2 linked regions of the Macaca mulatta genome follow. The protein of the gene in region 2 interacts with the protein of the main gene of each other region in a pairwise test. Links are inferred from orthologs where the notes say so. Each region holds a gene or a part of one and is shown on either strand. Other genes may lie near its edges.

Region 1 (3,500 bases), on a different chromosome or scaffold from region 2:
ACGTTTGAGGCTATATTACTACCAACTTTTACTTATTATTTTTTTTTTTTTGAGACGGAGTTTTGCTCTTGTTGCCCAGGCTGGAGTGCAATGGCGCCATCTCGGCTCACGGTAACCTCTGCTTTCCAGGCTCAAGCTATTCTCCTGCCTTAGCCCCCCAAGGAGCTGGGATTACGGGTGCCTGCCATGATGCCTGGCTAATTTTGTATTACTTTAACTTTTAATGGTCTAATTTTATATCTTAAATATATAAATTAAGTCCCCAAGCTGATTCTACTACTTAAGTAATCTGTTTTGGAAGCAGAAATTTTAGAAAGGTATAGACTTAAAGGATATCTTTCATTTTCTTTGTCATCTGTTAACTCAAACAGCTGCTGAGCACAATCCTTAATTAACTCATCCAAAGCATCTTCCATTGCTGATAAGTCAGAAAGTTCCTCTTGCAGCTTCTTTTGTTGGGGAACTGCTCCAAAATTGCTAAGATCAGATCCTCTTTAAAAGAAAAAAAAATCACCACAAAGGAATTTCAAGTTAGGTTACTGGAACTTCTCCAAATGATTACCATAAGTGTTTTCCACAACAATAGAAACTAGGGACTTTTAACTTCTGCTATCTTCGTTCTAGACAGCCATTATTCCTTCTGTACATACATTTATAGTTCTTCATCTTATACAGTCTTTTTCAAAAAAAAAAATACATTACAACCTAACAGAAATTAATAACAGCAGAGACAGCCTAAGAAAGCAAAAGGGCACTGAACTAAGAGTCAATAACACCTAGCTTCAGCCTCAGTCCTAGTCCTTACAACATAGCTTCTGATAAGTTATAATCTTACAGTACTTGAGTTCCTACATATGAAAACAAAGTGTTGGCTAAATGACAGTTCCTCTGCTAAAATGTGATGAGTCTGTATTTTTCCCTAGTGTACACATTCTATCTGAATATAATGATTCTATTCATCATTTTAAAAAAGACATTATTTTCAGGCCAGGCATGGGGCTCACGCCTGTAATCCCAGCACTTTGGGAGGCTGAGGCAGGTGGATCACCTGAGGTCAGGAGTTCGAGACCAGCCTGGCCAACATGGTGAAACCCCGTCTCTACTAAAAATACAAAAATTAGCCAGGGGTGGTGGTGTGCGCCTGTAATCCCAGCTACTGGGGAGGTTGAGGTGGGAGAATCGCTTGAACCCAGGAGGTGGAGGTTGCAGTGAGCTAAGATTATGTCACTGCACTCCAGCCTGGGTGACAGAGCAAGACTCCCTCTCAAAAGAAAAAAAAAAAAGATATACATATTTTCCTTAGTAATTAGTGCCTACTCCAATATGATGACCAGGCAACAACTGATTTTCATTTTTTCCTTTCAATCTTAATGGAAAATAAATAGGGAAAGGTTCTTGCCTCTATCTTTCACCTGGCAGTTTTCAAATCTGATTCTAATTAGTGATTCACAATGCATGCCGATACAAACTCCTAAAGTGTTTTTTAGTAAACATGCTCAAATTAGAATTCAACCTATACTTCCATACTATTGAAAAAATGACCTCCTTTATGAATCCCTTTCCTCTAATAACTACGTTAATTATTTAGGATCATTTTACAGTCTTTCTTGGTAGGTTTGCATTTGCCTGAGAGGTCACTATGTACTTATTTGCTGCAACGATTTCTCCCTGTCCCAAAATACTTGCCTATTCTAACAGCTTTCTTCTTATGTGTGCACGCACAGATACCTTTATCTATGCCAGTCTTCAGCTTCCCTTTCCATTGGATTCCTCCTCATCATGTCAAGTCTTTAGCAACTGCCTTTTAGACACTGTCTGATTTTTCTTTTAATATTCAGGGCAGTGTTTCAAACACCTCGCTACGTCATAATCTCCTGGGCTACCTGTTGAGAATGTACTTTCCTGCTTTCCCTCAGATCTACCGAATTACACCTCCAGAGGCAGTAAGCCTCTAGGTGTTTACTACACGGCCGTGTGAAAACCACTGTTTTACAACCTTCACAGATTTTCCCAATATCAGTAATCAACTGGAACTGAGGAAATACTTTTTAAAAAATGTATGTACTCTCCAGGATGATGCGAGAAAATTTTACAGAATTCTCTCCTAACAAGAAGTTGTACCTTTGTTTTCTATTGTCAAAACATTGCTACTATCTAGTTTAAGCACGGAATTGTCACTTGATGAGAAAGAAAAAAAGCCATGAAAAGTTTGAAAGCAACTCACATCCATCGAATATGGTTCTTGGATTTCTTTTCAACGAGGTCGATTCCATCTAAGACATTGGTGATGTCATACACTCTCCGCTTGCGGACTCCCAGTTTCGTTGCAACCTTGTTTAAGTCAAGAATACCCCCAGGAGCAGATCTGACAAGATCCATAAATTTTCGAGTTAAATAAACCAGTGATACATCAAAACGAGGTCTCTTCACTTTTAGAGCTTCTGGGAAACAAAATAAACATATTTGTAAAACTTTAAATAACATTTCTCAACTCATTTTAAAAAATCATCTGTTTCCTCTTGATCAGAGAGCAGACATCTACAGAAATCCCTACACATTGACCAAATCAAAGCTGGTTTCTATGAAATAAATCTCTTAAATTGGAGAAAAAATTCACTGGCCTATCCTGGCTCTAAACAAAGGCTTTAAATTTAAATAAAGGAGTATTTGAAATATGCAACCAGTGTCCACTGAGCATGTGGACTTTTACAAGTCTACAGCATCTTCTCAGACAAAGCAGTGAGATTACATTTGCATCCATACCACTCTCAGGAATAGAATTACACATGGTTTTTAAAATTAAATTTCTCATTTGGTCTTCAAGTGAAGGAATTCTTTACTAAGCAAAGGCAGAGAACTGGCTTTTTGTCCCCTTTTAATGACTCTATCCATGTCATAGTGTAAGTTGTCTGACCAATGTTTTGAAAGAGCTCAAACTAGTCTTCTATTAAGGCAATGATGACATACCTCGGCCAACAGTGGTATCTCTATTTTTTCTTTTCTTTTTTTTTTTTTTTTCAGACAGAGTCTCACTCTGTCGCCCAGGCTGGAGCTGGAGTGCAGTGGCGCGATCCTGGCTCACTGCAACCTCCGCCTCCTGAGTTCAAGTAATTCTCCTGCCTCAGCCTCCGGAGTAGCTGGGATTACAGGCGTGCACCACCACGCCCGGCTAATTGTTTTGTGTTTTTAGTAGGGACAGGGTTTCACCATATTGGCCAGGCTGGCCTTGAACTCCTGACCTTGTGATCCACCCGCCTCAGCGTCCCAAAGTACTGGGATTACAGGTGTTTGAGCCACCGCGCCCGGCCCACTATCTCTATTTTTAAAAATATTCACTACTCTGTATTAATGTAACGGATAGACAAATGATAAAAAATCCCTTTAATTCCCTCACTCACCTACTATGGCTTGGGTTTTCATACACACACACACCCCTCTAACACACTCACACTTGTGTGTCAATCATATATATAGTTTTTAAAAACAAAAACAGGACCATG
Region 2 (4,104 bases):
AAGATCGCGCCACTGCACTCCAGCTTGGGAGACAGCGCAAGACTCTGTCTCAAAAGAAAAAGAGCTAGAGAAAACATCAAATTCCTTGACTTGTCCACAATCTCCCTTTCCAGCCAGACCCAGCACTCCTGACCACTCCCAGACTTTGAGCAGGGAAGGCCTCACCAGCTGTAGAATCCTATTCTCCTCCCAGCGCCAGCCCCCAACTCAGATCATAACCCCTGAGCGCAAGGTAAGCCCCCAGGCCCTGTGCCTATGCAACCCCTGACAAATGCCGCGTCTCAAATGCCAAAACTGGATAGAGCATTTGGAGTCCCGCAGAGTCGGATCACCTTTCTGTATGCCCCCGACCCCCAGCCTCACACTACATGCTGTTCACATACAGTGCCAATGAAATCAAGGGGGAATGAATGAGGGCCCCGGTGACACCACCCATTATGTATCAAAGCGTGTTTAAGAACCATTTGAGGAAACCACACAGGAAACCACACAACACCAGAAGCGTGCTCTAACCGAGGCCCTGGGCCCAGCTCCTCACTGTGAGGAGACGTAATGAACACGGCTGCGCGCTGAGCACATGGCCACATCTGGCATTCTGAGTGCATGCACGCATGAGGTCAGGGCATGGTACGGACAAGCACAGTGGATAGGGTAAAAGTAGCCTCGCAGCACACCCAGATATGACTTCAAAAACCCACATTGGGTCCACCTGTGTGCTCATATGCCCTCTCTAAAGCACATCCCAGTGCTTGAAGCCAGGGACACCGTGTGACGTAGGTGGTCACAGGTCAGGGAGGGCAGACGCCCCACAAGGACTCACAGGGACCACTGAAACCTCTGCGTCGATGGAGAGGGTTCCACACTCCGGATGCATTTTCGCTACAGCTGTATCAACAACCCCTTTCACTCACAGTTACAGAGCAATGCGTGATGGGAAACACTAAGGAATCCAGCTTGCTTCAGTGACCAGCATTACCAAGCATAGTAAAGAACCACACGCCAATAAAATAGAGTACATTTCTGGCCTTAAAAGCCTCGATCCCCACACAAGTTTAAAAAATTATTCAAAATATTCTATAGTTTCATGACAAATACTAAGCAGGCTAAGTAGCATTTCTTACCAGATTTCATAAACCACCAAATCTCATCCTTCTGAGAAAAAAAAGTGGCCAAAACAATTGCTTAGCTCTTGGTCCACCCAAGTGGAATTAACTTCCTCTATAGAAAGACAGGTGCCAGCAGGTGGCTACAGTCTGAGACCTAAGCCTGGCCCCCGTCCAGGATCTTATGTGGAAGCCCCCAAGAAATGGAGGATTCGCTGCGGTGCTGCAACACCCTCCACCTCAATTTAATAAGGAGTTTATTCAAAATTAGCAATTAACACAGTCGGTAAAGATAAGGAGAAAGTCAGAAGGCACCACCCCATCACCACCCAACTGCACAGTGTGGTATCCAAGGCCACAACTTGGGGGTGGTGAGCGCAGTTTCAGAGATCAGATCCTTCCATCTTTCACCTTCATCCCGCTTCAGATGCTTTAAAAGTCTGAAAATAAACACTACTGTAGCTTATGCGTTGTCATTCTGAAATAAAGGCAGAAAACTACAAAGAATTTAGTGCGAGGCAAACATTCGTGTGCAGCATGAAGCAAACATACTTACATCTTTTGCCATGTTACCAGATCCGGGAAATAAATGCTACAAATGTTCACCTTCCCAGAGAAGAAAAATGATTTTTCTGGTAAAAAAAAAAAAAAGGAAGGAAAAACAATAAATAAGTAAGAATGAAAAAAGAAGTTGAAAAAATAACACATCTCAAAGGAAACGTGGACCTTCCTTCCCAAAGGCACCCTCCATCCTGAGAGCGGAGCTGGCCAAACCGACTCCCACACTGAGGATTTTAAGTCGCCTCGTCAGACGGAAATGTCCCCTGCGCAAAAGTGGCCGGCGGGCCCGCAGGGTCACCACCACGACCCCCAGGTCCCCGACGGCCCGCCCAGCGGCCGAGGGTGGGGCTGAGCCCCGGCAGCCAGGGCGCAGCGCCTCCCTCCCGCCGCTGCAGGGGGGGCCCCACCACCCACCTGGGCGCAGCCCCAGGGTCCCGGCGCAACGTGCAGGCTCGCGGCGTCCACCCCAGACCCCGGCGGCGCCCGCCTGGCTGACCGGTAACTCTGACAGGTGGGCTTCCGGGGTCCGCGCCGCGCGCCTGTCACTAGGCCTCGGGCCGCCTCCGCACGAGGCGCCTCCCGCGCGCGCCGGAACCGGGTCCCCGCGGGCCGCCGTGGGGCGGCATCCCCTCCCCCGCCCTGCGCGCTCCGGCCGACCCTGGCCCTGGCCCCACCTCCGGCGCGGGGCGCGGGCGCTGCTATCGGCCAGGAGGGCCAGGCCCGGGACCCCCGCCCCGCGGTCACCTGGGGAGCCCCCACCAGCGCCGAGCGCGCGGGGTCCCCGAGGCACAGGAGCGCGCGGGGCGCGGGAGGGCGCGGGAGACCGCGGGTCGGGGCCGCGCGGCGCCTACACGCGGCCGGGGCACAGGATGGGGTGGCCGGGGGTCCCGCCCGCACCCCCGGCCCCCGCCCGCGGCTCCCGCGGCATCCCCTGCCCGCCCGCACCTGGCTGCCCGGTCCGGCCGCGCGGGCGGGGACGCGGAAAGGGCGCGGTGCGGGGCGCGGGGCGGCGCAGGGAGGCGCGGGCGGGGGCCGGGCCGGGCGGTCCCGGCCGTGGCGGGGTCCCTGCCCTGGGCCGAGCGGCGCCGGGACGCGGGGCTCACCCTGGCCGAGCGTCGGGCCGGCGTGACGTGCGCGCGGCGCGGTGACGTGGGCGGCGGCGGGCCCCGCAGCGCGCCTGCGCGCCTTTTCGCGCCTTCGGCGCCCTCCTCCTCCTCTTCTGCAGCTCCTCGGTCTCCCGCTCCTCCCGCCAGTGCTGCGCGCCCTGGGAGGGCGGGGAGGGGCCGTGCGCGCGTGTCCGCGTGTGCGCGTGCGCGTGCGGAGATGGAACCGGGGCCTGCGCCGGGACGGGCAGTGAGCGCGCGCGGCGTGCGCTCGGAGGCCAAGGGGCCGCGTTTGTGCGCGTCTGTGACGGTGTGTCTGGAGAGAGAGGTGGCCGGCTGTGTGCAAGAGTGTGTGTGCACATGGGGGAGCGGGGTCGGCTATGTGCACGAGTGTGTGTGCACGTGGGGGAGCGGCGACTGGTGTGTGCACGTAGGGGAGCGAGTAGTGTGCGCACTAGTGTGTGTGCATGTGAGGGGGCGGGGACTGGTGTGTGCACTAGTGTGTGTGCACATGGGGCAGCAGGTGGGGGGCCGGGTGTGTCAGGATGTGTGTGCAGGGAGCAGAGAGTGCCGGCTGTGTGCATGTGTGTAGGGGGGAGCACGGACTAGTGTGTCCAGGAGTGTGTGTGCGAATAGCGGGGCCGGGTGTGTGCTTGAGCTCTCTCTCACAAAGGAGAGACAGCCAGCTGTGTGCGCGCCTGTATGCACGGAGGGAGGGGGCCGCTTGTGTGCACGAGTGTCTGTGCACATAAAGGGCCGACTGTGTGTGGGGCTGTGCATGTATGGAGAGCAGGTGTGTGCACAGACGTGTGTATGTGGACACACGGAAGAGAGGTGTGTGTGCGTGCGTGGCACAGAGGCCGCTGCCTCTGCTGGACCCGGTGACCTCCAAGCCCATGCCTGGCCTACCCCCAGATTACCAACAATTCTGGGTGTCCTCTGTGCCCACTGGACGCAGCCTGGCCCGGGACTCGGGAGGGAAAGCAGGGACAGGAAAACTCCAGAAACAGTTTCATTGCATGGTGAGCCTGGTGGTCCCCGAGTCCTGGAGACTCAGTCCACCCTGGACGGCCCCGCCGCTAGGGCCAGGCCCGAGCACCCCAGCCAAGGGCGGGCTAGGCCAGAGAAGAGTCCAAAGTTCAGGGCCACAGCTGGCGGCAGAGGCCGGTGCGCACCGAGCGTAAGTCTAGGAGGACTTGAGGAGCTGACCAAAGGCCTCTCTGCCTATGCAGGGTATTATTACATGACAGCCCGCTTTGCACATTTTATGCTGATTTTGGCCACTCCTGCTCCTCAGGCAAGGCCGCACGCCCTAAAGTTCTGGTCACCTGGCTTCA

Evidence for each region. The genes of interacting proteins can lie anywhere in the genome.
Region 1: the proteins of TFDP1 (region 2) and E2F6 interact in binary tests that used the Homo sapiens proteins (3 or more experiments, as listed by UniProt). The link is inferred for Macaca mulatta from reciprocal best matches to the Homo sapiens genes TFDP1 and E2F6.

The regions. Positions count from the first base shown.
Region 1 is NC_133418.1:113,381,897-113,385,396, reverse strand, and holds part of E2F6 (transcription factor E2F6), read right to left. Parts: intron 2,442-3,500; coding exon 2,225-2,441; intron 493-2,224; coding exon 337-492; intron 1-336. UniProt on the Homo sapiens protein: Inhibitor of E2F-dependent transcription. Binds DNA cooperatively with DP proteins through the E2 recognition site, 5'-TTTC[CG]CGC-3'. Has a preference for the 5'-TTTCCCGC-3' E2F recognition site.
Region 2 is NC_133422.1:107,803,460-107,807,563, reverse strand, and holds the start of TFDP1 (transcription factor Dp-1), read right to left. Parts: upstream 2,801-4,104; 5' UTR 2,768-2,800; exon of another isoform or gene 2,610-2,767; intron 2,334-2,609; exon of another isoform or gene 2,079-2,333; intron 1,736-2,078; 5' UTR 1,672-1,735; coding exon 1,660-1,671; intron 1-1,659. UniProt on the Homo sapiens protein: Can stimulate E2F-dependent transcription.